Lepisosteus oculatus: one gene and its partners. The protein of the gene in region 1 interacts with the protein of each later gene in a biochemical or structural test. Links are inferred from orthologs where the notes say so. Each region holds a gene or a part of one and is shown in the gene's direction. Other genes may lie near its edges. The genes, in order: atm, rpa1, rbbp8 and abl1.

Region 1 (8,071 bases):
TACAGAAGAGTTCGTACACTTAAGGTGCAATTATCAGGGGTCACCTGGTTGTGGGCAGGATGCTGTTATTTTGTAAAACTTTTGGTTTGGGATTCTGCAAAAGGATATGGACTTCAGAGTCAATCTCCCATCGAAAAGACTGCTTAAACTTTTCAATAAAGATTACTGGCTAAAATAAAGCTCTGTCAGTTTTGGTCCTTGTTTAGACTCCTACCCATGTTTCCAGCCATGTAGGATTACAGACTTTTAACTAGCTGACCATTAATGTAAAATGCCATTCAATTTCATCTTACCTTCCCAAGAACTTATTAATGTTTTCTGCAAGTTTCTCTTGCAGGGACTTGTCACTAAGTATCTTGTCCCTGGCGTTCTCTATAACCATTTGCTGTAAGAAACAAGGATGGAATAAATCATTGGAACAGAAGAGAAACAGATGCTAGAGATCCGCCTGACTTTGAGAATCCGATTCCAATGTGGAAGGAGGTGGGACTCACGGGAAAGCTCTCCGAGACGGGCTCCTGCTCTCCTTCGTTTTGGAATTCCTCAGTCTCCACAATGACAGTAGATATCTGGGGGGTCCTTGGTGCTCCGCCCTGTCCAGCCAGCAGCCCACCTCTCCTCCTGGGGGAGTCACTGAAACACCGCACAGCACAGGAGGATCAGGCCTTCCTGTATCCTTTCCACACAGCTCATACACTAACAGCACGCAGGCTGCCAGGCACGGAGAGACCACTACGCCTGGGCCAGCTGCCACCTCAGCCTGAGCTGCAGATTCCACGCTTGTCTAGCAGGAACAAGCAGACAAACACAGGGAAAGAGACACAGACATGGCTCTCAGCAGACATGTATTCTTTGCATACAACACTGCAGAGTTTTCCAGCTGGAAGGATTCAGAAATGACACAGGTGCTGAAGCAACACAAACCAGCAAAGCAGAGAATCCTCTGGGAAAAAACGTTGACTTTAGGAAGGCCACACCTTCTCAGCGGTCTCCTCACCATTTCCTGCGGCCCGGAGACAACTGTCCTGGGCTAAATCTGCGATCTGGAACAACAACCTGCAGAGGGGAATCTCCTACAGGAAACAAAACAAAAGGGGCTCTTAAGGAACCAGTAATCTGCAGTCCTCAGGCAGCCTTTCCATACAAGCTTTCCTCTACTGTACTCAGAATCTGGGCAAGGATTTTTCCTTAAATGGACACACTGATGATCTGTCATTATGAGAGACTAATGTATTGACAAGTACTATTTAACAGGTCAAGATGTTTTTGTAGAACAAAGGCCACAGGACTAACACACAAAAAACTAAAAACCACATGTATAACACAAAACAAAACCTTTAACTACATGTTCACCACGACCCCTCGGTGTTCCACTTACTGCTCACGTTGAGCACAGCCCTGCTTCGCTCCTGGACCTGAGACTGGCTGACGCACAGGGGGGAGGGTCTCGCGTGCAGGGAGCTGTAGCAGATGGGAGTGGAGCACCCCAGCATGGCCTGAGGCACGCACACGGGGCTGGGGCTGGGGCTGTGCTGGCCGGGAGAGGGAGTCACAGACAGCAGCCCGGAGCTGCCCGGAGCCGGCGGGGAGGGCTGAGCTCTCTGATGCCGCACGTTCAGGATCCCATTCCGGGTGCGAACTGCAACATGGGCACACGGGCACACAGCAGGGGTGAGAGCTCCGATGAGCACACGGACACGCACGCAAAGAGAGAAGCGGTGCCAGACACCCGAGAACAAAGATCTGAAAGTACAGGCTGATACTGTAAATGTGCCAAAAGGCAGAGGGGAATAAAAATTCAAAGTCAAGAATGTTTGAGATTAAAAAATCATCAAATCTTTTTTTTTTTTAATATTGAAAGAGCCAGAAGCAATGAATAGTTACAATGCCAACAGACTGTGCAGGATCTGATTCATTATGAAACGATGGTCAATTTTAGCTAAGAAAACAATACAATATGCTTTTCTTTTCAATATGGGAACATCTGCGAATGCAAGACAGAACTTTCCAGAATGTCTGAGACCGACATGGAAGGAGACATTTATAAGAGGGTTATCATAAACATGCAGAGGAAAAAATCAGTTATCTTTTTTCTAAACCTTCAATTTCCCCTTTTCTCCTACAAGTCTGAGAAATCCATTTGACAGACTCATTATGGTATGAAAGACCTGTGGTTTCCTAAAATCTAAAATGCAGTGAAAAGATACCGGACAGAAAAAATAAACTGTATTTAAATAATAAAAATGAAAAGGCCAGCTTACATCTTTGGTTGTTGTAAATGCTTGGAGAGTTCTGCATACACCTAGTGAGAGCAATAGACATCATTAAGCCATCCTGAAAAACAGTTTTGCTCAAAAACATCTTTATTCATTTTACATTTCACTATTCTCATGCCAAGATAATATCTGACAGTCCTGCAAAATTTGGAATGTGTCAAATTATAATATTTCATTTCTTTAGAAATGGGATACTTATGACAGACTCCCCGGTTCCTAGTTTTAAATGTAGTTTCAACCTACGTCCTCTGGTTAATGCGTCACTCTGTTCAGAAGAATTCCACTGGGATGGGTTTGTCAATGCCTCTTTCTGTTGAAGCCTACAAAGCTTCAGTTCTAGTCTGTCTGTGTAGGGTGTACGCTGGTCCAGCAATGTATATGGTTACTCTACCCTGGACTGGTTCCTGAGCCATAGTAGTTTTTTCGTAACACAGGTGACACAAGAAATTGTTTGCATGATGTCAGGAGCTCATGACAGTTTATCTACAAGATTTTCTTCCATTCTGCAGCTCTGGTAAAAACACCGCTGCTGCGACAGTCTCCGGGAGCAAGTTCTTATGGTTGCATATCCTGAAACAAGAGGCTCCATTTACCCCCACCCCCAGAAATCCAGTTAAAGTTTCCTTTTACCTGATCTGATTCAGAGTGAAATCTAATTTCCTCCAGAGCGACGTCATCATAGCAGGTACCTGTGACTCCTGGCTGCATTCTTGACAAAAAAAAACAGTTGTATATTAACAAAACATGAACATATGAAGCTCTGAGTCTGAAGTTATTTTAAAACCTCCAGTACTTGCCTTTTGCTTTAATGGCAACGTATTCATTCAGAATGGTGTTCAGGTTTTTCCCAAACAAAGACTGCAAAGACAAAACAACATGATAAAACAGAACGTAGGGAAACATAGGATAAATCTGAGCACACTGCTCAGATTAGAGATGTCTAACACACTGTGTATGCTGTTTTCATGAAAACAAATCTAGCACATGAAACGCAAGCTATTTCATTCAGACAGCTAATGAGAGCTTTAGGTACGGTGAGACTTTCGCAGAGAATAAAGAGTGAAATTTTGCATGTGCATGCCATAAGATGCCGAATTTCCACAAGTCTTTCCATTACAGCGTACAGGGGCGAGGGGCTCTGCTGAGATCGGACAGCACTCACAAACACGCAGGCAGGAATCGCTCCGTCCTCGGTGCTGTGCTCCGCGTACTCCTTCAGGTCCGGACTCTCGCTGATGAACGCCCGGCAAGTGGCAGTCAGGCGCTCCTGTTGGAGATACCCTTGGCGCACCCCAGAACAAACAAGCACTCGGTTTACTTCATTTACTGGAATTTCAAAGCAATATCAACTCACCAGGGCATGCATCCAAAAATACACATCCTTTGTCAATAAGCGAATTATGCACAATTGTTCGGACATGACTGATTTCTGATAACGTCCTTGCAACTGAAATCTTGGCAAGGTCATAAACGCCACTGGAATACTATCAAAATCTGACATCTGATGTACTGGACATTTTTCCCCAGTATTAATAATTTCGTCACAGTCGTTATGGAATTTGACATTAACACGTACCTGGTGTGTAATTTAGTATTTTAGGTGGTAGTACTCCGACCACCGTTGTTTCAGACAGCTTACACCCAGTGGTATCGATATCATGCATCAAATATTATATGCAGTGCTTTCTGTTATCTACACAGTGAAAGACACGCTCTTTAGCTAACCATGCTCTTGTCCCCCAGATACAGGCTCTGGTACAGTACGTGTTGCAGGGGCCCTTTGTGATCAACACAGCTCTCAGCTGCGACCGCAGAGCAAACTCCCCGGCTACACGCCTGTGTCCCGCAACAGACCCCGCTGCGACCCCTCCAACTTACCCAAAACCAGCCTCGCAATGTCAGATGGTAGCAACATGGCTGTTGTGAAGCCTTTTCAACTGGCCCTCATACGCACAGTCATGAAAGAAAACCGAACAGCACACATTTGAGCCGTTATACTTTTTCTCAGCTCAGCTGAACACAACTCCCAATAACACCCACCCGCAGAAAAAGCGCGGAAATTCAGCACGTTTCACCCGGAAGTATTCGCCTAAAAGGCTGCATGGGAAATGTAGTTCGGGTGTTCGGTCAGTCAATGTCAGTACGCGAGACAGGGTTACATGGCGGATAATGTATTAACATATAGTAGCGCTCTTGGGTTCAGAATATTATATAAAACGTTAATTGTGCGTAACAATGGAAACTGGCATAAAATAAATCAGAGGTCCAAACAGATATTCTGTCAGTGGAAATGTTTTTATCAAAAATGTTATTGCAACAATAATATATACAATACAGACAAGAGTTTATATACATAACATCGTCAGGGGTACATAACACAGCTGCATTTTACAAAATAATTAAATGAGATAAATCAAGGTACGCACAGATTGTATATTCTTACGCTTATAGCAAAACGTCTGGAGACATGCTGTGTTTTGAACTGTTCAAATGGGGGTCTCTTCCCAGACCGTTTAATTTTATGTAAGTGTCATGATTAAATTTATGACAAATGATATGATATTCTGTATTTTTTTCAACGGGATTAAAAATACAGTGGCAGTGCGTTTAAAGCTCCAGTCTGCAGCTCCTGCACCAGAGACCCCCTGCCTCGCTGGGACTGGGGAGGCGGAGCTATCTCAGGAACTGGGGCCGTGATTGGCTAGCGGAACCGCCCGTCTTCGCAACGACCCGGAAATGAAGTTGAAGTTGGGGAGGCGCGGTTTGTGTTTGTATTGCTGTGCGTGCTGTGCTGTCTTTATAGTGGACAGTACTTGGGATTTAGTTTAAGTGAACGTCAGAACACGGCCCTGTCGTGAAATAAAGAAAGCTATATAAGGAGGTATGTGAATAGGTACCCAGTTCCCAGCGATTTTTAGATGCGGAGAATCATTTAGTAGTTTAAGATGATTTGACGTCAATTTTAATCAGACTGCATAGCTAGCTTACTTTACTTTAAAGTCTGGATCTTGATCGTATGTTTTTGGTAATACCGTGCAGATCTAAACAAGTGTGTGTAGCTCGCTTGTGATTGTTGAACGTGTACACCTAGCACGGTCATCGCCGATCTATTCTGAAGGCAGACGGGGACTCCTGGACTTGAAGCACCTGAAGCAGTGCTACTCCTGCTGTAATACTGCGTTCTCCGTCCGGCTGGTGTGGAAGGTCATCAGACGGCAATGTGGTCCTCTCATCGCCCGTGTGCGCTGTAGATCTTAGCAGGATCTCAGGGACTGCTCCTTACAGCTCAGTGGGATGGGGGGTTGGGCACTTTAAAAAACGAAACCAAAAACGTTTAAACTGCATTAATGTGAAACCCTTATTAATGGAATGATTTATGTATAGAATCGTTTGTGTTTGTGATCAGAAGGCATACTTTGAAGGGGTGTAATGAATCAAAACAGGCCTGTGTCTGCAACCCGCCCCCCACACACGCTTCTCCAGTTCGATTCTGTGCTCCTGCACTGTCAGTGCGGCGTCAGTACTCGACATCGATTCCCCTGTCTGCCTCTGCAGGCCCCCAGTGCAGCGCCACCCTGAGGACAACATGAGCCTGTTGCTGCATGAGCTCCTGATGTGCTGCCGTGGGCTGGAGAGCGACAAGGCCACGGAGAGGAAGGTAGATGCGTTCACCTCTGTGCAGGACAGGGGCGTGAGTCGCTCAGGAGTGACCAGATCACTTCAGTGCTGATGTTCAAAGGTTCAAAGGTTAATGAGGAAGCTGAAAAAGTCTGAGAATGTAATAAGCTTTCTTTCATTCATACATTTGTTTTTAAGTGAGTAACTTTTGGCATTCCTATGAAGCATTTTCCCTGACATAATGAGTGTTTTGACAATAGTGTGGATTTGATGTATTAAACAGCTGTAGATTAAACAATCAGTTGCCACTAGCAGAATGTTCTTAGGAGTCCACCTGTCAATGTTATTTTGCAGAAAGAAGCGGATAAATTTAAGCGGCTCATCGTGTCTCCTGAGACAGTTGAGGCCCTGGACAGAGCCAGTTCTTCAAGAGCAGCGAAGGGTTCCAAACAGCTCACCTGGGATGCTGTCTTTGGGTAGGTGCTCTTAAAATGAGCCCGAATGAATGACCGTGTGTGATGAGTTCATGCCGGTCTGCTCCAGGTCGCATTAGTCACTGAGGATGTTTCCTGTGTGTTAGTTGTGAAGCCTTGTTGTGGATTTTCTGTCACACAGCCTAACTGTGCTGTGCACCCACCCTTTCGCCGATTTGGTTTATACACACACGCAGCCCAGCAGTGCTCCTGTCTGGAACAGTGCTCACAGGGAGTCCTGGAGGTGCTCTGTTTGTAGCTGAGGGGGAATGCCTTGTAAAATGGCGAAGATGCACGTAAAGCCTCTTGCACAAGCCGCAGCTCTCACTGGCTCGTGTAGAAGCCCCAGTGCGCTGTGCTCCTGTGTTCTTGCACTGTACTGCCAGGGCAGCTGCAGGGTCTTACCTGCTCTGTAGCAGAGCAGCACAAGCAGGATGGCGCCTCTGCTGGCCTTGCAGGAGACAATGGTAAACCCACGAGTGACGGCCAGTGTGTAGTATTCTGAACTTGTCAGAAAACAAAAGCCCAGCTCCCCCGTTTTTACCACCAGGCTCTCAGTCGTGTGAGCGGGTCGCGATTTCAGCGGTCTGGCCGAGCGTAGTGACATCTGCAGCGAAAGGGGTGTTTAAGAAGCCCCTGCTGGACGTGCGGTTTAGAAATTGGATGCTTTAATTAACTGCGGCCCAGGCGAATCTGACAAAGCAGCGGCTCTCGTCCCTGAAGGGTTCTGCGCCGGTACGTGGAGAGAGAAACGGAGGCGCTGCAGACTGGGAAGGCCAATGTGTCCGCCACCACACAAGCAAACAGGCACAAAAAAATGCAGGAAGTCAGCAGCTTGCTCAAATTTTTCATCAGATGTGCAAACAAAAGTAAGTGACCATGTTTTAAGTCAACACAGATCTTTGGCAGCTCATTGACCGCTTGCTTAATCTCCTGCCTCCTTTCCCTGCCCGTTGTTCACACATTGGAGCGATTGCCTTTCGCAGGAGGCCCCCGCCTGAAGTGCACGGACCTCCTGGCTCACCTGGTGGGCGTCCTCAGGAGCTCCTTCTCCTGCAGTGCCTATGGAGAGGACTACAGCAGCATCCTGCTGAAGGACATCCTGTCTGTCCGCAAGTACTGGTGTGAGGTCACACAGCATCAGTGGGCTGGTAGGTGCCTTAACCAGCACCTGAGCTCCACTCCATTAAGTGTGTGAGCCCAGACTAATATATTCCCCATTCCGACTTCAGCTCAGCAGTCAGGGTGGAATTAGAGTCTGTACTTGGAAAGATTAACAATGAAATAGAACTGCTGTGCCGTGTTGAAGTGCTGATTCCCTGTGTTCTCCTGTCCAGAGCTGCTGGAGGTGTATTGCGGTTTCTACAACAGCAGCTCCAGTGCCATCAACCGCGTGCTGGTGAGCAGGATCATCCACACCCTGGTGAGGGGCTGCTGCCTGCAGACAGAGGGGCTGGTGCACAAGCTCTTCAAGTTCTTCTCCCGAGCGCTGCTGAACGCCAGGTACCGCACCTCGCTGCTCCGAGGAGAGCCCTGCCCTGCGGTCCGTGACGTCTGAGCGTGTGTTCTGTGCCTCGTGCAGGAGGGAGAAGTACCTGGCTGTCCTGGAGCACCTGCTGGCTGCTCTGAACATCTTCCTGAGGGCCTCGGCCGTGAACTGCCGCACACGGGTCTGCGGGCTGGGGGAGGAGCTCCTGCCCTCTG
Region 2 (7,570 bases), on another chromosome or scaffold:
TTGGGCGTTGCACCTCAGCTGCAGCATGTGCCTCAGTGCTGCTGCTCCCAGCATGCCCAACTCCAAAGGCCGCCCCTGTCTCTCGTCCTCCGTCTCACTCTGTGATTGGCTCCCACTCCTGTCACTCGGGGAAGCTCCGCCCCCTTTCTCCGACAGGGGCCCCGCCCCCTTCAGCCTGAGACAGAGCGTTGCCACAGTAGCGGCGCACAGGAAGCGCAGGCTGGGGGCGTGTCTGTGCGTGTGCGGGAGCAGGTGATGGACACACAGGTAAGAGGAGCCCAGGTAGCGGCCTGAGGGGTCACATCCAGGTACTGGGGTGCTGTTTGTGGAGCCGTCCACATCAGGTTGATCAGACTTTTCCCTGGTGCTCATCCTGTCCAGAGTTTCTTCGTCCCCCCTGCCCTGGTCCTGCACTCTCTTGATTTCCTCGCACCCGGCCTGCAGTGCCACCCGGAGTGCCAAGTGTGCCAGCACCCCCGCCGCCAGCAGCTCCCCCCCAAGCGGGCACTCCCAGCGATGGCACCCCTCCCACGCCTGCTCTCGACATTCCTCCCCGCAGTAACGGGCGTAACTGCAGCCCTGGCAAGGCACAGGGGAGAGCGCCCTGCGCAGGCAGCGATGGCAGTGCCAGTCCTCCGTGCCCGCGGCCCCCCTCTCCACCGCGGGTCTGACCGCTTCCTCGGGGATCAGCACGCAGCTGAACGCCTCCTCTTGCACCACCACCTCCCCGGGCGCAATGTCGGCCGCGGCCAGCAGGTGGCGACCCTTGCCGTGGCCGAAGCGCAGGGCTACGGCAGGAGACGCGCAGAGCAGGGTCCCGGTCAGCCTGCCGCTCTGTGCCTGCGGTGCCTGGCGCTCCATAACCCCTTCCCCGGCGGTACGGATCTCCGCACTGGCACTGCCCTCCTCCTCCTCCTCCCTTGCCCGCTCGAGCTGAGAGAGGCACTCTGCCCGCCTGGCCAGCAGCTTGGGCTCCAGGTGTCCGGGGTAGCCCTGGCTCAGCGCCCTGCGGATGTCCCGCAGGCACTCCTGCGAAAACAAGCAGCTGGTTTTCGGATCGGACCCACAACAACCCGGGACGTCTGTCACCACGTACCACAGCAACCACCCGGCGCCGTCCGAGTTCTGACCCGTTCTTCTCTTACCACGCTGTCACCGAGAGCCTAACTAGACATGGTGCAGCGGTGTGGTTTGGTCATTTATGGGTCCAATCAAGATCAAAAATCACCCGTCCTGTCCAAACAGCAGCGAAGGTTATGGGACTGATGCAGCTCTCCTCCGTGATTAACCAGGAGGGAAACAAGTACATCAGATCCCTTTTTATATTCTTAATTCTGCACATCAGAACCTCTGGCAAACATTTCAGGGCTCCCAGATGTTGATCAGATAATAATGTGTTCTCTCTCTTATGTCTAATCTATTAAAAGTAATTAATGCAAATAATTGGCAAGGATAAATGCAACTGTGTATAAACTGAGCGTGCTGTAAAATATGTATGTGTAATGTGATGGAACTGTTGCAACGAGTTATGCGTGTGTAACAGAGGGGATGTATTTAGATGTACAGAGCCGCTGTGCGTCAGTAAAACCTTTCCCCTGGGGGACAACAGAGTTCAGCGTATCTTAGCTCAGAGATCGCACAGTGGGGTTCAGCCCACGCCCAAGGGGGAGCCCTTCTGACCTCCAGTCAGCTCTGGGGGTTGATCCTCTGACACAGGGCGGGCCCATAGGAGGGTAACTCCAAGGCCCACACGCCAGCGCTTCATTCAGCCATTTAAAAGCTCCGTGACCCCAACCCGAGCTTTACCTTTGCCCGAAAGCTCACACTAAACCCAGCGTGCAGCGTGCAGCGTGCAGGCTTCTGGCGCTCACCTGGTACTGGGCGAGGTGGAAGAGCGCAGCGGAGCGGTTGGCCAGGCACAGGGCCAGCTCCTGGCTGCCCGGGTCCGCCTGGCACACGCCCTGCGGAGAGAGCAAGGACTAGACTGTGAGAGGGCCACCCCCCCACCACCACCACCACTCTGGCGCCACCTCCTGGCCGCTCGCAGAACTGCAACGGCATCGGACACATGAGCGCTCAAGCAGGCCGGGAGCCGGGTTTCCGAATGCAGCGTCAGCGGAACGGCGCTGGGGGAGGGGCGCAGGGCGATGTCCGCCCCTGGGGTGCCCCACGCCGCCAGGACAGCTGTCCTGGAGTCTTACAAGGCGCAGGACTGGAGCACGAAACACATGACCCTCATCTGCTGGGCAGCCAGACAGGCCCAGACCCTGCACGGCCAGCTCTGTAAGAGGTGCCGAGCGCCAGCAGTCTGGGGGCGCAGTCAGGCACCTGGACTCCCAGCTGGAAGGTGTGTGGGTTCGAATCCCCAGTGCGATCATACCCCTCAGCCCCAGTACTGCACTGAGACATGCCTCCAGTACAATGATTACAAACATAAGCTGCTTTGCTTTTCTGGACTAAGCTGCAGACTTATATTAAAAAAGAAACCAATATCAATATCGATGAAAAAAGATGTTATGTTGAGTTTCAGCCCCATCGAAAACAATATTAAAATTTCGTTGGTAATAAATGTAATTATTCTAATGGCACGTTATTATATACATAAAATGCTTGAGCATTTTAAAATGGATGTAAGGGGGGTATTTGCAGACACAAATATGAAAGCAGTGCAGACATTATGTTTATTTAATTTGTTTAATCTTTTTTCCTAACTTGAAGTTATGTAGTAGTATGTACCCCTGGCGATCTTTTTGTCTTGAACTGTTATATGCGCTCTTGTTTGTATTGTAATTTTTGTTATTCTGTTATGCATAAATACTTTTTTTTTTAAAACCTGCTGTGGGTGCAAGCACCAGCCAAATAAAAATGAATACAAATAATGAAGCAGCAATGTCAGGTAACAGAGACTGCGCAGCTGACGCGTGAGCAGAGCCGGGTGTGCCTGTAAATGAAACGGGACCGGTGACCTTAGAATAGCGCAGCAGTGCCCCCAGGTAGTCTCGTGCCTTGAACTTCCCGTTCCCCTGCTCCCTGAGCAGGCGCGCGCAGTCCGGGCTCTTGCGCACGGAGCGTCCTCGCGCCGCGCGCGACAGCAGCGCCGCATCTTCACCGCTGACGGGGCGAGGGAGGGAGGGAGGGAGAGAGAAAGAAAGAGCATCAGGCCTTCGTCCGCCTCGGCACTGAAGCAGCGCCGCCCCAGCTGAAGACGCTTCAACATGCGGTTGACTTGAGATAACTACTTTTTAACGACCGCAGAGCCAGGAAGAGCGCTGCTTCCTTCACAGAGCAGGGCTGCAGTTTCACTGCTGCCCGTTTGGGGTGTGAGAGGGGCCAGCAGGGGGCGCTCACCCTGCGGTCTGTGTGGGTCCTAATGGCCCAGTATAGATACGGGGGCACTATACTGTTAAAAGGTGCCGTCCTTTGGATGGGATGTAAAACCGAGGTCCTGACTCTCTGTGGGCATTAAAAATCCCAGGGCGTTTCTTGAAAAGAGTAGGGGTGTAACCCCAGTGTCCTGGCCAAATTTCCCATTGGCCCTTACCCATCATGACCTCCTAATAACCCCCATCTCTGAACTGGCTTCATCACTCTGCTCTCCTCCCCACTGAGAGCTGGTGTGTGGGGAGAGGACTGGTGCATCATCCAGGTGGGGCTGCACACTGGTGGGGGTGGAGGGGATCCCCATTACCTGTAAAGCGCTTTGAGTGGAGTGTCCAGAAAAGCGCTATATAAATGTAAGCAATTATTATTATAATCTGCAAACAAGCATTTTTTTACTGTACAGTTGTCACATACTCCAGGTTTTTTCAATTAAAAATCAAAATTCATGCTATAGTTTTTTTTATTAGTAAACTTTAAAAAAGTAAATATTTTTGCACAGATACAGGATTTGGACTGATCCCTCGGCTGATTATCCACGGTGCGCAAAACAGCTAATGAATTAGATGTGCAGTTTGCACACGAGCAAGACTGAGCCCGATCCCAAAAGGGATAATTCAGAGGTACACTTGCGACACTTTCATTCAAGACTTTCTACACTGACAGAGACAGGACGCGAGCTGTACTCACTTCACCAACGTGACGCAGAAAGCATACATCTCCGCCGGCTCGGTGAGCGACGTGAACGCCTGCTTTTGGACGGAAGGCAAAAGCTTCCACTTCTGTTCGACATGTCTCTGCCACTCGGGGCACGGCAAATCCATTGTTTCTTGAAAAAAATGATAAAACTAACGCCTAGCTATTGGATCTCTGCATGCAGCGGGGCACACACATTACAAACCCAGCAGCACTCTCCGGTCAAGGGTGATAGATCCCACTTTTGAGAGATCCTCCATCTTGGCTCCAATCTCCCTTATATTTACATAGCTTCGAGCCACAATGGCGCCCGTTTCGCGGGAGCGCTTTCCCCGCCAATCCGACGAACGGGGAGGGACTGTCTCCGCCGAGCACGGACCGCGCATGCTCAAGACCCGCCGTAGCCGGCGGAATTTGGCGCGTGACGTCGGGAGAGTTATAAACACACTCCGCGCGCGCTCTACAGCCAAAACTTGGCGCCACGGAATACGGACCTGCAGAGGAGAGAGGCGTATTCACCCGTCTTTGAGTTTTCAAGGAGAGTTTTTTTTGGTTAAAATCTGATTTCTTTTGCTCGCTATGACTGTCAAACTTACCGAAGGAGCCATTGAGGTAGGTGATTTTCGGGGGTGGATGCAGTAGTTTGTAGTTATTATCCACACTAGCGGAGAGTTCTTTCTGATGTCGCACTTGATAAATATTTTTTCCTAGTCGCTCAATATCGATCGCAGTGAATTGCTTTACTGGGTTTCGTCGGTGATGTAACACCCCCAGTTGTTTTTGACTCTTTCTAAGCGATGCAAGCAGAGCCCTGCTCCTGCGAATCGGGCGTGTAGTTGGTCTCCGAGCCGTGTCGCGGGCCTTCGCGCCGGCGCTGGATTAATAAAACCGCTCCACGGCTCACAACAGCCATGACCTCCGGGAGCACCCGTTAAATAAAGTGCAAGCTTGATAAACGCCATTCTGTAACAAAACAAACACCTGCTTGCATTGCATGTTGGCCAGAGCGAAACACTGCTTCCAGAACTGAAGGCGAACGGCTCGGGGTCTGGGGTCGTTGCTGTAGCTGTCTGTAGGCTGAGTGTTTTAATTTCCCACCGCAAGTCCTACACTGGCAGGAGCTCGTTAGCTCTCAGACTTCAGTCAGTGGTTACTGGGACTTCAGCTGGCCGAGAGCGGCACCCAGCCTGTCTGAGGACGGGCTTGATGTTTGTACAGGTACTGACGACGTGCCGCAGGCATCATTTTATAATAGACATGTGCTAATATACACATAAACGAATTTTTCATCTGTGTATGTTCTTGTCTGTTCTCTTAATGCTTTACATCTTAGTTCATTCTAACTGGGCTATATGCATTCAAAGTAAGGAAGTTTTTTATGATTAAGGAAGAGGGATAGAATTGTGTAGCTGTGCATTCATAATTCCAGTTTCAGTTCATCTGTATCTCGGGTTTGATATTTGATACACACTGCCAGGCCTGGCTGACCCCCCCTCCTCACTCTCTGTCCCCCCAGGCTCTGACCAAGGGCAGCGACGTGCCCAACATGGTCCTGCAGGTGGTGGTGAGTACGGACCCATCTGATCCGAGATCCGAGATCTGTTTGCCCTTGTTGCAGCATCGCTGAGATCTGACCTGTGTCCCCTCCCCCCTCCCAACCAGAACATCCGGCGCATCGAGAGCAGCGCCGGGCCGGTCCGGTTCCGGATGATGATGAGCGACGGGGTGCACACCATGTCCTGTGAGTACAGCAGCAGCGGTATTGGGCCTGTTTCAGCCGGGCAGTAGTCGGCTCCCATCGGTTGGGTTTAGATTGGAACCTCAGGAGACTGTCGGTCCTCTGGAATATGTCTCTTTCTTCTTAAAGACGGGGAACAAGCAGTGTGTCCTGCTGGCGGGGAAGCATCTTGCATCTGCCTTTGAATTTAAGTCCTTTTGATAGTTGTATTGCTCCTTATTGTGGTGCTTAAGTCTTGGTGGCTGCTCAAGTCTTTGCTCATTAAGCTCTGGAGAAGGTTATGGTTTAAGGTCGTAAACTTGATTTTACATGTAATAAATTCAGAATTTTTTAGCTTGGGGAAATTTTAGGAGCTTTTCCTAGTTGATCCAGAGTCGGTTTGAATGGCAGAGATGGACCCAGTCTCACTGTGCTCTGCTCCACTTTCCTTTGGTCCTGGTTGTTTTGCTTCTGCAAGTTCTGGTTGTGTGAGAAGTGTTCTCTCCTCTCTGTGTCTTCCAGACTTCAGGTGTCAAAGAGAGCCCTGTTACCTAAAGTATTGTTAAATGATTTATAACTGGTACTTGCACATTTTTTTAATCGTGACAAGTAAAGGGTCTGATATTTGGGTTTGAAACTACAGGGAGGCGGTGTAGTTGAGGGCTCCCTGGGGCTCCTGCACAGGTCTGTTGAAAAGCTCATGCGTCATCGGCCGCCTCAAACTCCTCGTCCAGCTCCTTCTCCCTGGAGTCCAGGGCATCACTGTGCATGTTTGTTTTTTTTCACCCCGAAATCTTCCTCCTTGGCACAGCCTTCATGCTGGCCACGCAGCTGAACCACCTGGTGGAGCAGAACACCGTGTCTTCGAACTGCATCTGCCAGATCAAGAGGAACGTCCACAACACCCTGAAGGATGGCAGGTGAGTCGTGCCGCCTGGCATGCCCAGACGTAAAAGATTCCTGCCGGTGCAAAGACAGAGAGAGAAGGACAGGAGCACTTCTGTCATTGTTGGTCTTGAAGTACAGTGAAGTCCAAGCCCTGCTAGGAGTGCATTCGTCCCCCAGGTTTATGAACTCTTGTTGAGGTGGGGTTTGAGGAGCTCAGCTTTCAGGCCACAATGAGAACCTGAAAGCTTGGCGCTGGGTGGGAGCTGTCTCCTCCGGGCTGCAAGCGCGGGCGGTCCTAAGCAGTTGCTCTGTTTTCTGGCTCTTGGGGCGCCCAGGCGTGTGGTGATCATCGTCGACGTGGAGGTTCTGAAGTCAGCGTCCGACGTGGGCGGGAAGATTGGGGACCCGGTCCCTTACGGAGAAGGTAAGGAATGAGACGCGTGCAGCATGTGTTGGGTGTCGCAGTAGGAATCCAGGATGTTCTGTAAAAAGATGGCAATTTAAGAAGTCCTAAATAATTCCTTACACTTATATAGTGCTTTTCTGGACACTCCACTCAAAGCGCTTTACAGGTAATGGGGATCCCCTCCACCCCCACCAGTGTGCAGCCCCACCTGGATGATGCACCAGTCCTCTCCCCACACACCAGCTCTCAGTGGGGAGGAGAGCAGAGTGATGAAGCCAGTTCAGAGATGGGGATTATTAGGAGGCCATGATGGGTAAAGACCAGGGGGAATTTGGCCAGGACGCCAGGCTAACACCCCTACTCTTTAAACAACAGCCTGTTGCCTGGTTTTCTTGGCTCGACTTCTATTGCTTTTATAAAAGAGGCTCCCCCACTCAAGATCAAGCTGGAACTGTCCTGTTTCTGTTGAATATGGACAATGCTGG
Region 3 (7,371 bases), on another chromosome or scaffold:
TGTAATCAACATGAATGGTATTGGACATCATTTTAAAATAAACTGTAATTCAGAAGAATTATACCTGTAACAAGGTGTATATAGTATAGTAAAACAAAACCCCCATGTTTGTACTTCAATGTAATTTAATACATTTGTGGTTTCCTTTAACAACCTAAGTTTAATTACACAAATAAATGTGTCAGATTTAAATGGGACACCCTGTATTTGTATTTCAGGCATGTTGAAATAAATACGTGAAAAGACAATGTTATATGTTATCCTTTTCCCCTAGAAATAATCACTGTAGTACAGTATTTTCCCTAACATATTACCACCATGCCAGTGTTTAAATTGTCAGTGATAAGAGATCACAGCAACAGTTTTCTGCAGAGCAGAACTGCATGCAGCTATTTACAGACAGGGATTATATGAACTGATAGAATTTTTTTCACAGTAATATAGCCTGTGTTGCAGGCTGTTTCTGACAGAAGTGCAAATATAGCTCTTATTCCATTGACAGCATGACTTTCAAAGTGTATGGTTCCTTTGGAAACTGTGTTTCACCCTTTCTCTCTTCAAGTGCTTAGCAGGTCTGAATGTCTACTTTTAGAAAATCAGGGGGGAAAAATATTGATATTTGTATTGTAGCGCTCTCGGGTTCATGTGGGTATGTGCCCTCTCCCTCGCCAACGCTGGGGACTCGAACCCGAGAGCGCTACATTGGTGTCAGAGTGGGATGGGATAGCCGTTCGCCGAGGATGGCAAAGTAAGCAGGGGAGAGCGTAAGGCATAAGGCCGACATTATAGCAGGGACCGCAGCCTCCGGGCTAACGGGAGATCTCCCTTTAGCTCAACTGGCTGGGTCCCTGTTGAGTGATGCCGGAGGCGCGGGTTCGAGTTCCCAGCGGTTAGGGGCCGACCTGAGGCGGCAGCGGCGAAGGCGCATACCCCCGTGAACCTGAGAGCGCTACAATATCATTTATTTTTGTTGTAATGTAGTTGTAACTGACTGCCCTTTAATACAAATACAGCAGAAATGACTGTTGGGAATGTTTTCAGCCTACAGAGTCCTCCTTTCACTTGGACTGCTAGCAAGCTGAGGGTTACATTGCCTGATGGATCACCCGAAAGTTAGAAATTATGGATGTGGCTTTCTCTGAACAGATAAAAGATAAAAGATTAGCTTGCTAGGGTATGTGAACAGTTTTAAAGAGAAGCCTGTCTCATTAATGCAATAATTTCCCAAGATATGACTCTACAAATCCAGTAATAAATCCAATTATTTCAGTCTGCTTTTCATGGAGAGTTATGGACTTGAATAAATTTGTGGTGAAAATAAAAACTATTTACTGTGCTTTCAAAAATAACTGGCTGATAAATACTGCCATTAAAAAAATGTAGTGACAAATCCAAATTTATTTGCCAGAAAACCTCACTTTGTGTTGAAATGGAGAGTGACTGCAATCAAATAAGATGTATATTTATTCATAATTAGAAAGCACTTTAATACTTTTAAGACAGAATCTGGCAAAAATAAGTCATGATTATAATCGCCATACTGTGCGAAGTAATAGTGAGGAACCCTTAAATTTGTCCCTCATTCGATACAATTCCCAGATACCTTTTATAACAACATATAGACAAATGTTGTTATCATTCCATTTATGTGACAACTTTCTCATCGGTGACTACAGTATACTTTTAAAGAGCCTCTTTCTTCTATTTGTAGATTTAGTAGCTGGGATTATTGTGAAGAGGAATGAAGAAATTGAGAAACAATTTTATTTCTTTCCGAAAACACATCTTATTGTTCCCATTTTCAGCATGAGATAAGTGGGTGGTAAGGATGTGCAGGGCTGAAACGCCTCTGCAACACCACCTGAAATAGCAGAACCGTGTCCACTGATATAATTAAAGGACTGGCATTTTGTTACAGGCTGTGAAAAACAAAATCAAATTAAAGACAAATATTCTTTTGCCGTTGGTCTTTTCATGATAATATTTGCTCTTGTCAAGATTATCCTTCCTTGTTTTTTCAAAGGCTGGGAAAGACATAGAAGGGGCCTGGACTTTGGACTTGAGTACTACTCCTACACCTCATTTCATAGCCGCCAGTAAAACACTAAATTCATTAAAGTGGATTACAGCTCCAAGTCAACACAATGGGTGTCTTGACAGGCAGTGGCAGTGCTTTACACCAGTGTTTCTCAACCTCTTTTACACCAGGAAACAGCTCCTTGGGGTTCTCCTCGTCTGAGGCTGAAGTTTAGATGGGGTGCACAGTAAGGATCCAATTTCATCAGCAACGGTACTTCAGGTCTCAGCAGAGACCCGTGCCAGTGGAGAAAAGCACAAGGCCCCGGCGCTCACCTGAGCTTCTGCTACTTGCCCTAGTATCACTTCCTCGCTTCCTGAACGAAGCTCTTACCAGAGCCGAGCATGCGGGCGGCTGGCGGTCTGGACCGGCTCCAGCTCAGCCAGTACCGCCCGGGTGCGACTCTCCCTGCCCTGTTCTTGCTTCGTCCCGCCCCGCCCTCCTCCGGGATGAAGAAATAAAGAATGAAAATGTGTGTTCGGGACTCTCGACAGTGTTCCCGGGCTGTTTGCTCAATCGGCTCGGTAAAACTAAAGAGCTCCGAGTGCAATTATACTGTATGACACTTCTCATGCGATAGGCGATTCAGTTTTTGTACCTTTACGGACAGTCACAGTTTCTTTTTATTTTTCATGTAACTAAAGTTTGAGTTTTTATTAAAATAATTATAGCTCAGGGATGCATGAATACTCCAAAGCAATTATTGCTTTACTGGCTTCTTTTTTCACGAACTTGCGTTCTGCAATGCAACTCTGCTTACACAACGGCTCCAGACAAGTTGACAAAATGACTACCACACGAGTGTGAAAGCCTCAGAAATATGCGAGTAACTGAATCATTCCTGCTTTCGTTTAGAAAACTTTTTAAATATCTTTATGCTTTTGCAGCCAATTCTGTTACAGGTCAAATTGTATATTTATTAATTTAAATTTTAAAATAACAGTTTTAACTTCAGTTATACTAAACATCTGTTGTCCTGTGTTACAGGATATGTCATTTGTTCAGTAAAAAAGGGGTTATCATATAACACGTTTCACAATCTTTGTGATCATCAAAAAGTGTCCCATGAAAAATTACGCAATTTCCTACTCTAGTCCTCAACGGCCAGAAGTATTTGACAAACCGGTTTATTTGAAACATATTGGAGGTTTGAAGACATCACATCTTTTTTAAAATTTAAAGCAACATTATTTGTTTTACTTAGTCAAATACAAAAGTTAATCTGAGACAGCAGTGTCAATATTGGGGACTATAGGGTCCAAAGACCACTGGTTGCCATGGAAACAATATTCAGGCTATATAACCACAGGTAATGTCTGAATTGCATTTGAACCCTAAGCACCTGCTTGACAATACATATTTTATTGCTAAGAAAGAACACATTGCAAAACAACCCCCACTCTGGTGTTTTTCTTACTATGTTACTTTCTGCAACCCTGATCATCACAGATGTTTTATGATTTATAGTTTATGACTTGCAAGACACAATTATGGTCAAATGTTGTTAAGGTACGAGAAAACACAGACAAGGGCAAGAACTCGGAATACACAGGGAAACACTATTTCAGGAACACCGTAAAATGCACGCTAGCCTTTAGCAGATGAAATAGAAACGTAAATATGATAAAATATTCTCGAACAAACTAGAGATCGACCTTGCATGTAATACCTATGAAAAAAGCCAATTTCAAGAAGTGATTTAAATCGGTTTTGCAATAAGATCCAGGAAAACTGAATCTTTTCATTTAATCTTATAGTACAATTTATCCCAGACGTTATATGTCATGGCCTTGTATGGCAGACATTTTGATTCCTGTAGTTACCTTTCCAGCGTAAACTGTTTCACATAAAGGTATTTGATTCCTACATCATTATGTTTTTTTTTAAATAAAACTCCCTCTCGTTTACTGTTATAAGTTTTTGTGATCTCGTGGCGTTTGAAATATTTTCAGCTAGCATTTTGTTAACTGACTTCCACCGTGTATTTATTTAATCTGCCGACGTTTTTATTGATGCTACAAGCAGTGTCTACACATACTGAACATGCATGGTAAGAAATCACACAGCCCTCCAGTCGCACACTTCGTATATCTCCAGATAAGAAAGCTTTCGTCTTTATGGTGGACTTGACGCTATCAAACCAGCTATGTCCCCTTCCTAGCGGTCTGAGACACACTGAAACGTGCGTGGGAGCTGTCGCTTTAAGGAGGACAGGAAGTGGCGGGGACTCCCAGAATGCACCGCGGAGCGCCAAGTGCAAACAGCGGTGTGTAAACAAGGTAAGAGTCTTTCTGCAGCGACATGTGTACATTTGATCGTATTTTACAGATGTGTGAAACTTGGACATATTACTTTGCGCTTTCTCTTGGTAATTCTTTGCCCTCGAGTTTGTTAATTGTGTACGGGTAGTTTGTCATTTTATTTGTCACCTCCTGCAGCGCGGTGGCGTGCGAGGAAAGGCAGTCGGACATTGGGGACGATAGGATATTTTAATGTAATTTGAGGTCCGAATCGCTTGATAGACCTGAAGATATTTACATTTTGGCGCATTCCCGAGTATTCAAGCATTCCTTCCGTGCTTTTATTTCACTTAAACGAAGAGCATTCTGTAATACAGCATGAGTGGGTCTTAACCTGCAGATTTGGCCATGAGCAGGTGATCTTACTGGTTGCACTGTACAACGTGACTGTGCTGTCGCAGGTCAGTAATTCGTGCGAACTGTTAAATCAAAGAAAATAGAAAGTAACCACGTATGTCGTTTCCCCTTCACAAATATAGACCCTTTATATTAAAGCGTGTCTGAGAGGAGGTCAGAGCCACTGGGCTATGAGGATAACTGAGTTTCACACCCTGAATATTTCCACTGTGTTCCCAGTATATGGAGAAATGTAATGATATGTAAACGTTAAAGTTTGTGAATAGCATTGCGTGGGAAAAACCCACTCGAGGAAGTGTGAGTGAGGCGGGGTGTAAATCCACTAAGAGGTTTAAAAGCCGGTGTTTGTTGTTTTTTTTCGGGTTTTACCGATAGGATCATTTAACCTGATCTACAGCATATCCTCTGGTACATCTGATGCGCTCGTTTTATGCTTCTCGACACGACAGTCGCTGCGCGTTGTTCATTTTCCAAACGCTGATCTGACGACTGTTTTAGACTACATGACTCCAGGCGAGCGTGTTGTCAGATTCGACGTCTGTCCGGGAAATAGTGTGACCCTGCTTTGTGCAGCTGGGCAGCCTGCACGTGGGGATGCAGCCGTTGCACTCGAACACAACGAACAGGACGGAGCTCGGAGTCGTGGGGTGACGATTAGGACTCTGAGCCGAAGGTTCGGGGTTCAGACCCCAAAGGGGCGACACTTTTAACAGGATACAGTGCCCAGAGCTCTATAGCAAGTCTGCTGTGTCTGGATGGAGGAGACCGGTAACACATATCAGTGTGCAGGAGGACAGCGTCGCCACCCGACCTGCTCTCTGCAGTTACGCAAGGCTCAAGCTGGTCAGTACCGGAGCCGGGTGCCTCCGTCGAAAGCAGATTGCTGCTGTAAATCGTGCAGGTGAAGTAGGCGGCGGCACTCTTCCCTGTAGAACAGAACTTCTGAACCAGTATCCCAGTAAGGCCCACCAGGGCGATGGGCATCTTTGGGATGAGATGGTGACTTGCTGAGCTACATAAGTAGTCATTCAAGATCCAGTGGCACTGTTCGTAAGAGTAGACCTGTGTTAGCCCTGGCGTTCTGTCACTGCTTTGCTTTTCGGCTTGTACAGTCTGCCCCACCTGCATTTCCCCCCTGGATTCATCCATCTGTCCATCTTCAAGACAGCGCTTATTCCAGGCAAGGGCTCCTGCAGAAAGCTCGGGGTGCGAGGCAGGGCGCCGCCCCAGACCAGCCGACCGTCTCTCGAACCCGGCCCGCATGGTTATGGAAGGCTGGAGGAAAACAGGTGCACCTGCTAGAAAGCAAGTAACATGCAGGCTCCGTAGAGAAGCTGGTAACCTGGTACCCAGGGGCTGTGAGGCCGGGCTAACTGCGCTGCAGTGATGAAGTTTCTCTCCTCTCCGCCTGGTCTGCGCTGCAGTGATGAAGTTTCTCTCCTCTCTGCCTGGTCTGCGCTGCAGTGATGAAGTTTCTCTCCTCTCCGCCTGGTCTGCGCTGCAGTGATGAAGTTTCTCTCCTCTCTGCCTGGTCTGCGCTGCAGTGATGAAGTTTCTCTCCTCTCCGCCTGGTCTGCGCTGCAGTGATGAAGTTTCTCTCCTCTCCGCCTGGTCTGCGCTGCAGTGGGGCCGCTGGTGCAGGACGGGTCCCATGCTGCAGCGCTGGGAGGAGCATGTCTTATCCTGCGTGTGCCGGGGGATTCGTTCGGGAGTTGCCGAGTCGGGAACAAGCCATCTAGCCCTGTTGTATACAGTGATGCCCTGATTTCTCTCAGGAAGCATTTGGACGAGGTCCTCAGAGGGACATACCCGTTACTACCAACCGTCTAGTCCCTAGACTGCAGTGGATCGCTTGGCCTCCTCTCCTCTGTAGCCTTTCTTATGTCCTTATGAAAAGCGCTATAAAAAAACGTTAAATAATAAAATGTATAAAAATAAAGAAACAAATATCTAATAATACTTTGATCACGGGCATGGCAAAAACTGAAAAATGGTGTCTGATTTGTTTTGACTTTTTTTGTATTTTGGGTTAGGGACACAGGTCCCAGTGTAATACTTAACTTCTTTAGAACTAAGAGCTACCCGATTCTGGTGCTGAATCCTCACACTCCCGTTGGATAGAGCCTCGGCTGAGGTGTTTGCTTGAAGACGGCCGCAAACCTTTAATGGTTAGATTGTTGAATGCAGTGCTTGGCTGGAAATCAGACCTGCTGGTGTGTGGGTCCCAGCGCGGGAGCGTTGCCTGCACACTGCTGTACCAATAGTCACCAGTAGATGGAGCTCGTTACACAGTGTTTCAGAAAAAAAGACTCCTCTTTGCTAAGGCTAGCGGCCTTGGTTCCCAAAGTGTGCCTGTATGTTCCTGCTCGTTATGAGCCGCTCTTCATCCAGTACCCGATTAAGGCCTGGAAACCAGATGATCAGAGTTTTTATCCTTTTAATTTCTGCATTAATTTAGTAAGATCTGAAATAAAATGACAACTGGACACAAATGAAGAATTCCAAGTGAAAAATTTAAGACCTCTTCTTAACCCTTGGCATATTGCCCATTTTAGGCAGTTTCTGTCAGTGTCCGATGCTGAGTCTCTGTTTCAGGCATTTAAAATATGTTTTGACTCCATAGCACTCCTCTCAGTA
Region 4 (7,693 bases), on another chromosome or scaffold:
TATTGAACACTCTACATATATAGTTTCTCTCTTACAGTGGGAACCGTCTCGAATTAGTCTCGTATTTAGTCCAGCTTAAAGAGACTGTAAAAAGTGAATGTAAAAGATTAAGTAATGCATTTGTTTTTAAATCACACCGACTGTACTGGATAAAATTGATTAAAATGGATAAGAATGTTTGCATGGACCTAGATTAATGCTCTCAATACTTCCGACTAGTCACCTGTGTCATTGCAGGTAAGCCTTTTATTGATTCAGACCTCACGCCGCTTTTGATAGCAAAGCCAAAACCGTTGTTAATGATAAAGACCAGAACACCCGGCTCTCTTTTTATTTTTATTTTTTTTTGCGCCTCCGTGTGTGAAGGTGATTGACCTTTCTTAACCTCAAATGCGTGACCTTTCAATAGGCTCGTAACTAGCCAGAACTTCCACTTCCCTCACTCCTCCTCACAGCTGGGTCAGGGGGTGCTGGTGCAGGTGTCCCCATCCTTGGTGAAGAGGCAGAAGACCCACTTCCACAACCTGCCCTGCGGCGCCTCCATCATCCTGGGCAACAACGGCTACGTGTGGCTGTATCCCACTCCCGGGCAGCAGGACGAGGAGGCGGGGGGCTTCTACACCAGCCTGGAGGTAAGATGGGGTGGCAGGGCTCACCGAAGAACTCAAACACAGCCGCAAAAAGTGGGAGAGGGGGTGGATCACTAGGATTGGTAGCACACGGATCTGGATTTTGAACATCTCGGATGGCCTTTTTTTATCCTAGACAGTAGCCTACACGGTAAGATTTATTGCGCGGTCTCGCTCTTTCGCTTAGCTCCGTTGAGCTGCTGTAACGATGCATAATCCTGTTTCTCCGTTCCTGTGTCCCTTTCCTCCTCCTCCTCCTCCAGCCCGTCTCTCTCTCGGACAGGGAAGTGATCTCCAGGTTACGGAACTGTCTGCTGGCCCTGGCCACGCACAAGGTCCTGCTGTTCGACACCAGCGTGCTCTACTGCTACGAAGCCTCCCTCTCGCACCAGGTACAGCGTTGTAGAGGTGCGCCGTCCCAGAAAGTCCCTGGGGCTACAGCTGTACTTGGTGTAACCTGCTCGATTTGTCGAGCTGTACAGCAGCTTGTAGACGAACGTAGGACATTTCTTTGAAGTGGAACAGACGGTCAGGCTGAAGGAACTGAATCTTTTTAGTTTTGAAGAGCACATAGAGCTGAACGGAGAGGGCTGTGTGGGGAACTGATTTAAATATTCAAAATCCCCAAAGCCCTTATTAGCGGAGGACTCGAGTGCAGTTCAAACTGCTCCTGTGGAAGAGAGGTGGAGCAGCAGTGAAGTGTTTTTTTAGTACCGGTATGTGCGAGACTCATTGTCGGTGTTCGTCCGACTGCCTCTGCAGATCAAAGACGTCCTGAAGCCGGAAGTGATGGAGGAGATCGTGCTGGAGACACGACAGAGGCTGTTGGAGCAGGAGGGGTAGGCGCCCGGACAGCCGACGTGCGGCCCTGCCGATTCCTTTTCCTCGGCCCGTCTCCATTCCGGTCACCTGGGGTTCGGAGAAAAGAGGTTTTGTCTCCCCTTCGGGCTGTGAACAGCTGACATGACGTCACAAAGGGACCAGCATTTGTTGTTTTTTTTTTTTTAAAGTTGACCAATGAATTTTTGTGTAATCGATCATTTTTGACGATTTAACAGTTGAACACAGTTGGCAGGGAGAGGCGTTGGAAGCACCTACAGCCAGTGTGTTCTTAAGAGGCTCTTCCACTGTTGTGTGGAGAAGCTCAGGGTCACATGTAAGTTCTGTTTATGTCCATTATTCTGTTAATAAATGACATTACCACCCCCGAACATTGGAGTAGAGTCTTTTGCATGAGTATTTTAATTGTTGTACACGTTTAGGGTTTTGTATAACACAATTGTGTTTTAGGTTTACGCTTAGCTCACGGCGATCGAGTTCATGTTTGGGTCGGTACTGCCCCTTTCCCTTGCCGTCTTTGTAAACTATCCAAATGAACCTTCTTCCAGGTTTCTGTTGATTCCTGGCCGTTCTCTGGGGTGACCCCCGTCACCTAGGGTCCTGATTGCTTGGTCAGTCATGAAGAAGCATTAAAATAACAGGATTCGGATGCTGGTGAAAGAAGAGCTGTTTATTCATATGCAGACGGGAGATCAGTTTGCGAAAGCTAGTCTCTCCGAAAGATGTTGCTCAGCGCTTTTTATACACAGTGACAGACACACGTCCTACCTTTAACATAGATGACCTAATCCCTAAAACGAACCATTCGTTTTTAGTCAAGCTTGGATAACGGGAAAACAACTCCTTATCGAGACTTTCGTTATTGCTTACATTTGCGAAACAAGACATTCTGCTTCCCTTTTTACTCTAACGTTTCCACTGACCTATAGATGCCCCCTGGTATGCTTCCACTTACCAGGGTTATAAGCAGTTAGGAAGCTAAAAGACAGGCAGTTTGTTCGTTTTTATAAAATGTGCAAATGGCACATCAGCCGGGTCCTGTGGATGGCGCAGGGCTCCGCTGGGTTAGATCCCTGGGCTGCTGTCTGTGTGGAGTCTGTATGTTCTCCCTGTGCTCACGTGGGTTTCTTCCCACAATCCAAAGACACGCTGGTATGTTAGTTGGCTTCTGGGACAATTGGCCCTGCTGCGAGTGTATTGCCCTGCAGTGAACTGGTGTCCCCTCGGGGTAATACAGGGACGCAGGGAAGCCAGAGTCTGTCCCGCCACGCAACGGGCACAAAGCAAGATACACCTGTGCCAGTGTGCAGGGCACACATGGACAGCAGGGCCCATTTTCCCAGAAGCCAGTCAGCCGTATGTCTTTGGAGCCAGTGGAAACCCGCATGAAGATGGGGGGGAAAACATACAAGCCACAGGCTGAGAGCACCCCAGGTCCAGAATTGAACCCGGGACCCCAGCTCTGAAGTGCTAACCACTGTGCCACCAAGCCTCCCTAGTCGAAAAAATGTGCGCCTGAAACATGCATGTCCTTCATCTGAGGAGCACAGGAACAACTGCAAAGCCTTTCCAAGTATTCGTCCACTGCTGATGGAGCCCTGGAAAGAGCACTACGAACACGGTTTTAAAACTGGCAAGAGTGGCAACAGCTGCTAGGGGGAGCACTTGGATCATTTTGGTTTAAGTTGTCAAAAAGTAAACTAAAGATGAAGATATCATACACATCCCTCATCGTTAAAACAAGATGGAGACTTTCCTTTTAAAACATTCATTTTTTTGGCTGACTGACAAAAGTTAATGGAAGGACTTTCTTTTATCAGAGTAAAATCAATTAGTGCCTTTTTCACTGAAATCCAACGGGGGTTGCAGCCTTACTCCTGATCTTTCCTGATCTGATCTTTGTAGTTAAGCTAATATGTCCTATTCTTTTTGCCCACTCATTTCTCAATACTGGGAACTGCAACTATATTATATGTTTTTGCCGATTCTCATTTGCCTTACGAAAATGTATCGGAAAAAAACTTCTCGTTTGGCGAAACGAGAGGAAATAACTTCACAATACAACGTATTTACACTTCCTGAACCTCGCAGAAATAGTTTTTGTTCGCCAAGAAGGAAAACATCAATGTAGGACAATACAGCCCCAGGTATGCACCTTCTTTATAAGAAGACCGGGATGTAACTCTATGCAGGTAGTAAAATAACTCATTTGTCCATGTGCTGATCACGAGTGCGCTTGTTGCTCCTGGATTGAGTGGGGTGATCAAAAAGCTGGGTTTATTCAGAAGAAGGGGGATAGGACAGGTAACTCTGGTCACCAAGTGCTGCATTGGTGTCTGTTTTGTTTTCTATTGCAGAAGACAGGGACTTTATTGAACCGAGTGGATGATTAAATCAGCTTTGTTTTCCAACTCTGGGGCTAATTGCAAACAGCCTGTAAAACCGGCTGCCCGCAGCACTCAAAGACTGGCGTTTGCCCTTTCTCCTGGAAGAGGTTTCAGATCAAAGGACTCACATCAGTCTTGTTTATTGCAAAAGTAAGCGAAATTTGAATCTTGGAGCCAACTGTGCGAAAGAAAGGAACAGAAAGCGATACTTCAACAAAAGGATTGTTGAAAAACATGATCCTTCAGCATAACTTTACGAATTTGTTTAAGAAACAATAGAAGCATATGCAATGAAATGCATCCGATTGAAGTTCCGTGGATTTCCCATCTTGAAATCTATGCATGTAATTGAGTGGACATAAACTTAATGACAAACACCCGGAGCCAGACGAGAGCGGGTGGGCTGCAGCGAGCACACACGTAGTTTGCGGGACAGTTTCATTTTCCTGCTGGTTTGATTTGGATATGTTCTCTTGCAGAATCATTTTGGTTCCCCGTACAACGTGCGAACGGCCAGTTTCTGTCTTTCTGCCATTAAAACCACATCTCTCTGGACCTTAAGCGCCCTTCTCGCTGAAGCGCGCCCCCCTATTAAAGAATCGGGGGCGCGCTTCCTTTTTCCTTTCCTGCGCTCCCCTACCAACGTGCTCGTTCTCGTCCTCACATCCTCTTGCGCGCTTCCCTCGGGAATTCTTACGTTACGTCGGGACGCATGGACGTAGACGTAACCCCCCCCCCCCGCAACCAACACCACCTCCTGTGTAGTTGATCTCCTTGCGTAGAGAAACATGGCGGCGATTGAGCGTATGTGACCGAGGTTTGAGTAGCAATTCCACCTCCGGGAGAGTCAGAAATCCATGCAAACAGCCGGAGTACGGAAGATAGGACGTGCTTGCTCGCCCTGATCGGACAGGCGCCCCGGGTGTCCCTCGTCATCGCCGAGGAAGACGTCGCTAACACGGCGGACAGACGGAGCGGATCGCCGCTTGCCCGAGTCTTAGGGAGCCCCGGGTACTCGGGCACGGGAGAGCCCGGGAGGACGGACGATACTGGACGGGGAGGTCGGGGAGAGCCGGAGGGGGTGGGGGCGGAGGTGTCCGGGGTCCCCCCCAGATCTGCAGCCGGAGGGGGTCGTGGCGCTGTAGCAGAGGCGCACGGTGACAGACCGGCCGGGGGGCACGGAGACTGACGCCCGGGCAGCACCCCGAGACGCAAGCTCGGGCGTTTTACATCAAAAATAATGATGAACAGGGAAAATCCGATCCGTGCTGATTGAGGCACCCCCCACCCCCTTTTAACGCGCTGCGCCGCGACTGCAGCGGGGTCGCTTCGACGCGCCCCGGTCCGAGTTCCCTACTTTGTTGTGCACCGAGGTCCTGCCACCGCTTTTCAACTTTGCAGCGTTTATTAAACTTTGTTTTTTGTTTTTTTTAGCCGAGTTCCTCCACCCAGACCAGGAATAAGCTAGCATCATATCGGGTTGTCCACACACACACACACCTGAAAATACAGACGCGTGAAAGAGACGGGGAGGGGGGAACAAAATAGGAACAGAACCGTTTCGAGAAGCTGTGAGGTCGGTGCTCGGCGGCTGTCTGGCCGCGTACGGCTTGTGGTTTGTCGTAGGTAGCGGTGCACTGGTGTCTTACAGTATATCTTGCGGGCAGAAGACGTCTTTCGGCGAGCCGGTGTCTGCGGGCTGCGCTCCGAGCAGATCGGCCGCTTCCACGACCACTATGCACCGCGTAGCGCTCTCCGGGGGTAGCCGTGTCAGAAAACCAAACTCCGCATCCCTCCCTTTAATGTGAGAAAACCAAAACAACCCTTACCAAACTGCGGGAATCGTCGATGGGGGTGATCTTGATGAAATCGTACACAAAAAAAAAAAACAGGGGTCTTGAATGACACACAGGTGTGCAATGTGTTGCTTTGCGTCTGCAAAGATCGCAGTGAATGTATTGTGCGTAAACAATGAATACAGTGCCTTACTTTCACAGATGCCCTCCTAAGAGGACTTTAAATACCAGTAGGTGATCACACGTCCTGCTGCAGGGATTGCTGTTTTACTGTTACATTATGGACCCCTAACCAGGTCTGATATCGAGAAGTCTTTTTTTTTTTGTTGTTGTTGTTGACATAGTTCACAGAAAGGCGGACAGGACTGTGATCGCGTGTCAGCCGCCCGGGGTTCATATCGTGTGTAATATCAGAGCCCACGGAACTTCATTCCAGTCAGATCATTTTTATTTTATCCACACTGAGAGATTTATGTTCTCGGCCGTGTGTTAGTCATAAAAGCACACCCAGGCAGCCGACTCTGACCTCTTTAACGGCACACTGAAAGGCCTTTATGTAAATACGCTATTCTGGAGATGATTAGTAGGCTAGACTTTTTAAAAGGGGGCTTTCGGTTTTTTAAAGCGGCTTCATCATTGGCTGACCCGAGGACTTTCCTAGGATCTACCTGCTGAAGTTTAAGCACTAAAAAAAGAGAGGGGGAACCTGGATTCCAATCCTTGGCCAAGCTGAAGCTAGCACACCAAATGAGATTATGCAATGAGAATGACCCCGATCCATACCCTGAAAGGTATTGAACTTGCCAAACTGGATGCCCCGAATGGTTCCTCGTAGCTGCTGCAGACGCTGCCCTGGCGGAAATTTTTCCCCCTGAGGGAAACGGGAAAGCGCGCACACACGCTACGGTGCTGTAAATGATCGGTAAGGGGGAGGCGAACGGCGAAGGCGAGGAACAGAAGGCAGCCCCGCTCCCGTGTCCGATTTCCCCGCCGCCCAAGTTCCGCCGGGGCCCGGGGGCGATGCAGGAGTGAGCGTCCGGCGCTCCCCGCCCGCTCCGCTCGGTCTCTCCCCCCGTCCTCGGCCACAGGAAAGCGGACCCCGGCCGAGCCCGGCTGCTGATCCGAGGATCCGGACGGCGGATCGTGCCTCCTTCCTGGCGGTGGCCTTGGCATCGTTCCTTTATGGGGCAGCAGCCGGGGAAAGTGCTCGGGGACCAGAGGAGACCAAGTCTGCCGGCTCTGCACTTCATCAAGGGAGCGAGGAGGGAGCCGTCGCGCCGTGGAGGCCAGCACTGCAATGTCTTCGTGGAGCACGGTAAGAGCTGTTCCAACAGCTGAGCTGGACGCAGGGGTTCAAGCCGCCTAGACGCTCATTTTGTTTCCCCGCCCTGTTTCTAGAGAGTGCACTGTGGTGGAGAGGGGGAGCTGACAGGACGCTTGTCCCTGTGCCTTGTCTGCATCCAAGTGTGTTCTTGCGCTGCGGTGCGAGGTGAAGGGTTAACAGACGCCCCAGCCCTGCGAGCGCTGTAGAGTTACTAGTCAACACAGCTGGAATCAAAATGAATAGTTATTGGGCCTCGTTTTGCATTAAAAACATTGTGCGTTTTGGTAGCGTGCAGCTCGATTTCGCACCGCTGCCAAAAGAAGGATGCTGTTCTGTGAAAGAGGAGGCCTGTCTGTGGAGAGCTGGTGCTCTGTTGGTCGGTTTGTTGATCCAGCTGGATGGTTTCACCGATAAAGACAGGGGCTGTGGCCCAAGTGAGTCATCAGTAGCTAAAGGGTGTTGAGACTCATTTCTCTGATTGGGCTGGCTAATTAACAATGTGGTTCAGCATGAAGAAAGAAGCTTGCGTTAGTAGGGTGTCTACAACAGCATGAGGCTGGGGATCACAGTTGAGTTCCTTCCCGGTGTTGACTGACCCCTGTGTGGCAGTAGCACTCTTTCCTGTATCAGGTTCGGTTTCCGTGCCTGTGATTGAGTTTGTGAGCAGCGTGGTCTCAGTATTCTGCAGGGAGATAATAATAAAACAGTATGTAGTGC

The links.
Region 2: the proteins of atm (region 1) and rpa1 form a complex in vitro, tested with the Homo sapiens proteins (3 studies listed by BioGRID, with this or other methods). The link is inferred for Lepisosteus oculatus from reciprocal best matches to the Homo sapiens genes ATM and RPA1.
Region 3: of the proteins of atm (region 1) and rbbp8, one has a biochemical effect on the other in vitro, tested with the Homo sapiens proteins (4 studies listed by BioGRID, with this or other methods). The link is inferred for Lepisosteus oculatus from reciprocal best matches to the Homo sapiens genes ATM and RBBP8.
Region 4: of the proteins of atm (region 1) and abl1, one has a biochemical effect on the other in vitro, tested with the Homo sapiens proteins (3 studies listed by BioGRID and IntAct, with this or other methods). The link is inferred for Lepisosteus oculatus from reciprocal best matches to the Homo sapiens genes ATM and ABL1.

The regions. Positions count from the first base shown.
Region 1 is NC_090700.1:682,610-690,680, forward strand, and holds the start of atm (serine-protein kinase ATM), read left to right. Parts: upstream 1-5,039; 5' UTR 5,040-5,157; intron 5,158-5,831; 5' UTR 5,832-5,862; coding exon 5,863-5,934; intron 5,935-6,248; coding exon 6,249-6,370; intron 6,371-7,090; coding exon 7,091-7,236; intron 7,237-7,353; coding exon 7,354-7,518; intron 7,519-7,704; coding exon 7,705-7,870; intron 7,871-7,949; coding exon 7,950-8,071. Other genes in the region: protein NPAT, read right to left, coding at 294-385, 495-633, 998-1,073, 1,379-1,639, 2,262-2,302, 2,907-2,985, 3,074-3,134, 3,439-3,557 and 1 more.
Region 2 is NC_090721.1:10,064,836-10,072,405, forward strand, and holds the start of rpa1 (replication protein A 70 kDa DNA-binding subunit), read left to right. Parts: upstream 1-4,486; 5' UTR 4,487-4,653; coding exon 4,654-4,686; intron 4,687-5,590; coding exon 5,591-5,638; intron 5,639-5,736; coding exon 5,737-5,815; intron 5,816-6,602; coding exon 6,603-6,711; intron 6,712-7,014; coding exon 7,015-7,103; intron 7,104-7,570. Other genes in the region: smyd4 (SET and MYND domain-containing protein 4), read right to left, coding at 1-1,029, 1,872-1,961, 2,967-3,111, 4,069-4,202. UniProt on the Homo sapiens protein: As part of the heterotrimeric replication protein A complex (RPA/RP-A), binds and stabilizes single-stranded DNA intermediates that form during DNA replication or upon DNA stress.
Region 3 is NC_090701.1:57,679,917-57,687,287, forward strand, and holds the start of rbbp8 (DNA endonuclease RBBP8), read left to right. Parts: upstream 1-4,302; 5' UTR 4,303-4,356; intron 4,357-7,371. UniProt on the Homo sapiens protein: Endonuclease that cooperates with the MRE11-RAD50-NBN (MRN) complex in DNA-end resection, the first step of double-strand break (DSB) repair through the homologous recombination (HR) pathway.
Region 4 is NC_090719.1:14,553,863-14,561,555, forward strand, and holds the start of abl1 (tyrosine-protein kinase ABL1), read left to right. Parts: upstream 1-4,605; 5' UTR 4,606-6,834; coding exon 6,835-6,967; intron 6,968-7,693. Other genes in the region: exosc2 (exosome complex component RRP4), read left to right, coding at 456-632, 893-1,021, 1,392-1,472. UniProt on the Homo sapiens protein: Non-receptor tyrosine-protein kinase that plays a role in many key processes linked to cell growth and survival such as cytoskeleton remodeling in response to extracellular stimuli, cell motility and adhesion, receptor endocytosis, autophagy, DNA damage response and apoptosis.